2 linked regions of the Coturnix japonica genome follow. The protein of the gene in region 1 binds, or shares a complex with, the protein of each later gene. Links are inferred from orthologs where the notes say so. Each region holds a gene or a part of one and is shown on either strand. Other genes may lie near its edges.

Region 1 (3,647 bases):
CAGTTTATAATTCTTTTCAACATCTTTTTTTCTTATTTCTAATCCAGGCAGAGTTTGAAATCCTAGAGGACAAATACAAAGGCACCATAGAAGAACCTCATTGTTATGTTCATTAGTCTTTTCAATTAAAAATAAAGACAAGGCAAACTGTGCTCAAATAGGTAAGATTTAGAAGATATTCTGTTCAGAATTCATGTCAGTATATTCATAATTGAGATTCTTATCTCCTGGAAACATTAAAATATAATTTCTACAGAGACGATTAGCACTAATGTGATCAGTACTAATAGGAATCATAGTAACAGAATAATAGGAATAGAAAATTGAAACAAGATGCGTAATTGTTGCATTAAGTGCTTTAACCTATACCTTAATTTCTGCTCTGGCTCTGTGAGGAAACAATTGTCCAATCAAGGAGAAGTCCGTTCCAACCATACTGATAGCTAAAAAGAACATGTCTGTTTCTGGGGAAGAAGGAAAAGATACATAGCTATACATACACATAACTGCACAATATTAAATATGTTCTGTAGATAGCTAGTAAATAAAAGTTAACTCATTTCAAAGTGCTAGTGATTACTGTTATTATGAACACAACCTCAAACAGGAACCAGGCAAATAACACCTAAAACACACTGTTACTATTCCTTGTAAATAGGGTAATAGCCCATCCCAAGAGCAGCACAGTATATTCTGAAGCTAACTTTTCCATATGAGTTATTAAAAAATGATAAGAAGTTTTGCACAGTGCTGTCAGCCATGATCAGCCATGATTCTGTTATAACAACAGAGCTAGTTATAACAGAAAAACAACAAAACAGAAAAACATATCTTCTGTATGCATTAGAAAAATATAATGTAGAAACAACTTATTTCCGCCCATGCTGGAAGAACCCATTAGAAGAGTTGCTAAGAAAGGCTACCTGTTCCATACTGAGCTCAGATATCTTGATAACCCAAGCCAAAATTACCCATCTGAAAAAGGCAAGCATTTCCATGGTATCTAAATTTCCATAACAGAAATAGTCATGAGTATCCTACAAAATGCACTGGATTTCTTTAAACATTCCTATTTTCACAGACAAAAATCAGAGCTCTGCTTGTTTAAAGAACTTAGGTGTGGAATGTCAGGCTTAAGCAGATCCATAAACTTCACTGGGAATAAAATTTGTTAAGCATAAAGCACTGGTGGAAAACATCTTTGTGCTGATGCAAAACATGAAACCAAAGGTACACCCACCTTTATTTGACCATGGTTTGGTATAAAAGCTTTTCCTGAAGCTGGAATATGTAGTTGTAGAGCCACGTTCAAAAATAGGATCATTTTCTTCTACAACACAGGGACCTTTTGTTCTTAGAACTTCTACAGTTAAACTACAAAAGCAAAGACAAAAGGCATTTGACAAGCAAGATACACATATAACATTTAAAGGCCAACTACTTAGACTTTTCCTGCCATAAGTCAGGATGCATTGTTATCCACTGTAACTACCTTACTGTTTATTTTAATGGAAGAATGTGGTAAAAAGCATTAGATTACTCAGACTGTGCAAGCAAATTTGGTTTTCCCTTTTTATTAGATATAGTACAAAGACAGATAATTAAAATATCTTTTAAAATTAAAATCACCTTAACAAACATTCAGCCCTCTTACAAAGCATGACATCTTCCTTGCTATCTCCTTCCTCAAAACGTGTTTTTCAGAGGAAGTTTGCCACTACTGAGACACAAATAATTGTTGCTCATATATTGCTGTATATTTGCACTGTCCTCTATATTAGCACAGCTCAACTCTCATCACATCATACGCTTGGGTCTCCCTCACTCAAACAACAATCCTATCTACAAAAAAAAGAAGCATCTAGCACCTGTTGTCCACGAGTCAAACACAGAACTTACCTCTCTTCATCCAGAATAATTGAACCATCTTCGGCTACTTTCACACGAGGAACTAGAAGTGGACCATCCTGACCTTCCTCCTCATTCTCTGCCTCCTCCTCATCTTCCTCTTCATGATCGGGAGTACTTTTCTCTTCCTGTCTACAATATTAAATAGAAAAGTTGTATGACTTTTGGTAGCACTCCACCAAATTGTTGCTCTGTAGGCCAAATGCTCAACAATTTAATTAACCACTTAAAATACAACCCATAAACATGTCAAGCTCATGCAGACTCTGAAATCTGCTTTTCATTCTGTTGTGTGATGGACAAGTTCAAAATTGTAATATGAAAAGCAAGAGGGTCTTTTACAAAACACTCTCACAGCTTGTTTTAAAGAAGGGCTATGATATTGAAACAGTAAATGAAGATGTAATGTTATTAATACTACTACATTTACACATTCTATTTTCCAATATCAGACGACTTTTTTTTTTAATCTAAGTACCTTCATCTCTAAGACTTACTCTTTCATTTGACCCAGAGTAGAACTCTTTTCTGTCCTCTTCTCTTCTGCTAACGAAGACCTAGAATTTTTAAGAGACGCCAGTTTATACTGATATATTTCTGCTTCATTCCCTCAAACCCACTTTCACTGGATAATGCATAAACAAGCAACAAAACATAAACTCTGATTTTCAACTCTTTCTATATCTGAACTTGCCCAGAGCAGCCTGATCTAATGGGTGGTAACCCTGCCCACAGCAGGGGGGCTGGAACTGCAAAGCCCCTTCCAACCTCTTCCATTTTGTAATTATTCTCCCCATCTGTACACATATACAGGATTGCCCCCCCCAACCAAAAGCAACATTTTGCCGTACTGAATCTCACTAGGTTCATGTGGACTCACTTCTCAAGTGAGGGTGACTGTCTTTTACATAATGCATTCAGAAGGTTGCACAACTATGTAAATTTATTGTGATATATTTAAGTGAGGGGTCCAAGGGAGGGAGAAACAGTGATCCTGATGGATCAGTATGGAATAAGGATGGTGAAATGCATATGATTGGAGCAGGAGACAGATGAATGGGCTATAACCAGTCATTACATCTAATTTCTATATGAAAGTGCTTAGAAGCTTTTGTTGCCATTATAATAATACTGCATCTGTGCTAACACTCCAGATTTGAGAATTCTCCTCATAATCATTAAACAGAAAAAGAATCATTCAACCCAGGAAGGAAAAAAGCCACACTTACTTCATTGGATTGTTTTCTGGTAGGTAGTATATCAAGTCTCTCATGGTCATTTTAGAGCGATCTGGTGGAGAACATCCTTCAATTATTGGAGGCCTGTGTTTCAACTCTTTCTGTATAAAAACAAAAAACTTAATTTCAACAAGGAAGTACTTTTCATTTCATATATAGCATTTGTTTGTTACGTACCCTAGTAAAATGAAGTTTGTTATTTTGTTGGTGGGATTTGAGGGTTGTTTTTTTGTTCTTTTCACACTGAACTGGTTAGTTTATGAAAAGAGTATATTTATCAGAGTGGAGACTACATATCCCTTAAGAGATTTACCCTCTCAGAGATATTCAATGCTTGGCAGAGCTAAGCCACATAACTCAGTTTGTGAAGGTCTAAAAGATGCAAGAAATCCCAAATCCCAAGGTAGAGGCTTACCATCCGCTCTTTCTTCAGCTCTTCTTTAAGCATTTCTCTTAACTTCCGAGCTTTGAGGATCCTTTCACGGTCAGAACATATTCGTT
Region 2 (4,214 bases), on another chromosome or scaffold:
AAGCACTTTATTGAGGGATTAATTATTAACCTCTTAGTAGTCTTAATAGTCTTACTATTGTCATAAAACACTGAAAATTACTGGAGACTTCTCAAATGAATACTGTATTTTTGTAGTGAAAAGTAGTTAATATATTATCCTAGAGATGTACACGTTGATTGGAAACTCAAAGCTGTTAATCATGTTTCCTTACTGTAATTGGGCTGACTGCTGAAGTCTACCCTGGCAATCAAAGCTCTCCTGCGTGAGAAGCTCAAGTTGAAGCAAAACCTTTTGCTTTAAGTGTCTTTAAGAGTCTCTGAAGACTCCAGGTTGGTACTTGGGGCTCTGAGATGCACAAGTTCTGAGCAGCACCTTTGGGTGGCACTGCTTTGTGTTGCTTGGAATGGATGCTGCTCCCAGTGCCTTGAAATAGCAGCGGGATGGAGGAGTGCTTTGTTTCCTCCCCGCAGATCTCTGGAAAGAAATAGTTCTTTATACCTCATAGATAAACTTGTCTTCTAGGCTTTATTCCATTACTTTATCCTGGTTTAGAGAGTCAGAAAACCAGCAGTGCCTTTTGAACATCATAACCATTCGGAATGACAGATGCTGTTGTTGGTAGTTATCACTGGACATGGGCTGAGAAAGGCCTGATGTGCTTCTATGGATCTCATTTTAGCAGTGAGGGCAATGCTGTGTGTATGATGCTGTGCACAGCGCTCTTTGCACTCTGGATCTCTTCAAGTTTTAACATTGCATTCCTTTTGCATCTCAACGTTCTGCACAGGAACAGAATGGCATTGTATGCTAATAACTCACCTTAAAGACAGAGCCTTAAACCTTGTACTGTCCTTTGCCATTTACCACTATCACTGAGGCAATACGACCTCAGCACTGTGTGTTATTATCCCCTGTGGTGACAGGTGCTGCAGGCAGCGCTCCTGGATGAGCCACATTTCCATTCCACAGCTGTGAAATCATGGCACAACCCTCACACCACCATCTACGGTCTATTTAAAGCCTTTCTTTGGTGTCAGGGGTGCTCACCTTGATTTTAAGGGCCTTAAGAATTGCTTGATATTCCTGAATGACCTCAATGTATGTTGATACGGTCTTTTATCGCGGGTACTGTTTGTTTTTAAACACCCTTTGGGTTTTATGGAACACTACAATAAAATTACCTTAATTCCAATGTCCTCATGGCTGTGTTTTCCCTTTAGCAGAGCTGTGGATGTCATAGCAGAGCTACATTCATTCCAATATCCTCATGGCTGTGTTTTCCCTTTAGCAGAGCTGTTGGTGTCTGACTGAGAGCAGGTTTGTGATGGCTAACAGCTCCTAATTGAGTTGCTCTATATCAGAGCTCTGCTGCTCCTCGTGGTGCCGGAACGCAGCGCTCTACGAGCTGCTCTCCACCCGGACCATGCTCGGCTTGCACCGCCCGGTGCCGTGATAGGCTGTAACCGGTACAACCCCTATTTGGTTCCTAATGGCGGATCGCGGTTTGTGCCCTGAGTGCGGCTCCGCGGCGCTGCTGGAGGACGCTCATTACGCGCAGCAGCAGCTGGTTTGCGCCGCGTGTGGCTGCGTGTTGGCCGAGGGGCTGCTGACCACCACGTACAGCGATGAAGGGCAGCTGCGAGGTGAGGGTTGTGCCGGGGGGGGGGGGATCCGCTCTACGCGTTGCTGAGCTGGGCTCTGATTTGCTGCTTGTTTGTTTCTTTCAGAGGTGGCTTATTCGCAGAGCACAGGGCAGAAGGAGCAGCTGAACCGATGCGAGCAGAGAGGTAAGGCTGGAAGGCACCACCTTTGGGTAACCAATGGCAGTGCATCGCTTGCAAACTGCTCCTATCCAGCCTAAACCTTTCCCTTTGAACCCCCCCCTTCCTCATATCCAGCCTAAACCTTTCCCTTTGAACCCCCCCTTCCTCATATCCAGCCTAAACCTTTCCCTTTGAACCCCCCCCTTCCTCATATCCAGCCTAAACCTTTCCCTTTGAACCCCCCCCCTTGCCCTGTCACAGCCCCCTTCATCCTTTGTATACCCCTTTGTTCCTTACAGCCCCTTGGATACCATAGGGCTGCTCTCAGGTCTGCCCAAAGCCTTCCCTTCCCCAGCTTTGCAGTCTCCATACCTGGCCTTGCAGAGCAGTTCTCCATCCCTTGCGTCATCCCTGCTTTGCTATATGCTAACACATCTCTGAAATGGTGAAAGCTTTCATGAGCTGGCAGTTAAACATGAAAGGAGGAGTTAGTTCTCTATGCATTAACATCCCTGTGAGGTTACTGCATAAGGATGAGTTCGTGCAGCTCCTTAAGGGCAGTTTCTTTCCTCAGGGATCAGAAGGGTCCAGGATCTCTGTAAGGTTCTTCGGCTCCCGTCGGTGTTTGAAGGCACGGCCGTGTCCTACCTGCAGAGAGCACTGCAGCATCCCTCCTTCCGCCTGCTCAGCCTGGAGAAGAAGGAGCTCCTGGTGGGCTGCTGCGTGCTGGCGACCTGTCGGCAACACAACTGGCCACTGACACTGGGAACAATCTGCTCCCTCCTTTATGCAAAGCAGGAACTGGTCACCAGCGTCTACCTAAGCCTTCAGAAGGAGCTCAGGATCTCAGTGCCGGCGCTGAGCCTTATGGATCTGGTGAAGACACACCTTAACAGGTAACAGCCATCCATCGTGGCCCATGTGGTGCTCTGTGCACAACACCTGTTTGTGCTGAAGCTTCCAGAATGCAGTTGCTGCAGGAAGCTGTTTGGAGAGTGGGCAGTGCAGGACTTAAACATGGGGAGCTTAAGGACCTTGCCTTTAAGGACCTTGCCTTTAAGGACCTTGCCTTTAAGGACCTTGCCTTTAAGGACCTTGCTGTGACCTTCTCTGTGTTTATTTAGAGGGATGACTGGCATCAGTGGCTGCCACTATGGTGGAGTATAAGTCTGAGCTGTGTTGCTGTAACCAGGTCCTGAAGCTGTTCCTAGTGCTAACAGTGGGTTTTCTCCTCTTCCAGTTTCCAGCTGTTCCAGCACACAGAGGACATCCCTGCCCAGTTTGTGGAGGACAAGGAGGCGATGCTTGCCCGGACCATGCAGGTGGTGGAACTGGCAAGTGAGACGTGGCTGGTGACAGGTCGGCATCCCATCCCCATCGTCACAGCTGCAGCCTTCCTGTCCTGGCAGTCCCTGCGGCCCTCTGCCCGCCTCACCTGCACGTTCACACAGTTCTGCAAGGCAGCAGGCATTGATCTGCCCCCCCCGGCACGCCTGAGGCTGAAGGAGCTTTATGAAATCCTCCTGAGGATGGCAGCTGAGCTTGCTTGGCTGAAGGTGCTTAACTTGGACAAGAAGACGGTGGTCAAATACATTGGGGATCTGCTGCAGCATCGGATCTTCCTGCTGAAAAATGCCTTCTGTGCGGTGGATGTGGAGGAGCAGCAGAGGGCAGCCCAGGCTGAGGACTCCTCTAGCAATACTCCAGCAGCAGCAGGGACAGCACTGGATAAGGGCGGCCCCTCGGAAGGGAAACAGAAGGCTGAGGGCAGCCGGAGGCCCTTACTGCCACCCTGCCTCCTCCATCCAAAGAAGAGACTGCGCACTGCAGCCTTGAGTGCTTCGGATGCTGCCATCACTGGAGATGAGCCCATCTCTGACAGTGAAATAGAGCAGTACCTGAGGGGCCCGGAGGAGATCCGGGCATTCAGGAGGGCCAAAGTGTGGCAGTGAAGATGAGCATCACTGGAACAACACCACTGGAGCACCAGAGACTGGAGCCAAAAGCATCAATCCTGATGGTTAAAGAGTCATTCCATGCTGCAGGGACAGTCATCTGTGGATACGTGGTGAGTGGGAGGAGTGGGCAATGGTTTATTACACTAGACCAAGATAAGTCATTTTAATTAGAAGTAAATAGAATACAGGGGCCAGGAATGGGGTTTCAGCTTGACAGGAGCTGGGAAACCACTGGGGATCTGCAGCAAAGGGACAGCACTGGGGTGTGTGAGCACAGACAGCGCTGGAGGATGCAGACACAGCACTGCTGGCTGTTCACTTTGGACACCATGAAGCATTGACCTCTGTCTGCCTAATAGGCTGTTGTATTTGAATGCAAACTCTGCGAGAAATCACAGTTCATTTGGCAGATTTGCAAATCTTTAATATATTAAACAAAACATATCTGCTAGAAAGATTCTATTTATATAAAAATGCAAAAAGACCCCTTTTAAAAGACATTTCTTTGGCA

What was found.
Region 2: BDP1 (region 1) and BRF2 share a complex: the UniProt entries of both Homo sapiens proteins name them as parts of the TFIIIB complex. The link is inferred for Coturnix japonica from reciprocal best matches to the Homo sapiens genes BDP1 and BRF2.

The regions. Positions count from the first base shown.
Region 1 is NC_029547.1:64,469,118-64,472,764, reverse strand, and holds part of BDP1 (transcription factor TFIIIB component B'' homolog), read right to left. Parts: coding exon 3,562-3,647; intron 3,248-3,561; coding exon 3,138-3,247; intron 2,466-3,137; coding exon 2,406-2,465; intron 2,041-2,405; coding exon 1,900-2,040; intron 1,375-1,899; coding exon 1,241-1,374; intron 465-1,240; coding exon 370-464; intron 1-369. UniProt on the Homo sapiens protein: General activator of RNA polymerase III transcription. Requires for transcription from all three types of polymerase III promoters. Requires for transcription of genes with internal promoter elements and with promoter elements upstream of the initiation site.
Region 2 is NC_029537.1:3,589,147-3,593,360, reverse strand, and holds the start of BRF2 (transcription factor IIIB 50 kDa subunit), read left to right. Parts: upstream 1-1,283; 5' UTR 1,284-1,471; coding exon 1,472-1,625; intron 1,626-1,709; coding exon 1,710-1,769; intron 1,770-2,319; coding exon 2,320-2,641; intron 2,642-2,985; coding exon 2,986-3,697; 3' UTR 3,698-4,214. UniProt on the Homo sapiens protein: General activator of RNA polymerase III transcription. Factor exclusively required for RNA polymerase III transcription of genes with promoter elements upstream of the initiation sites.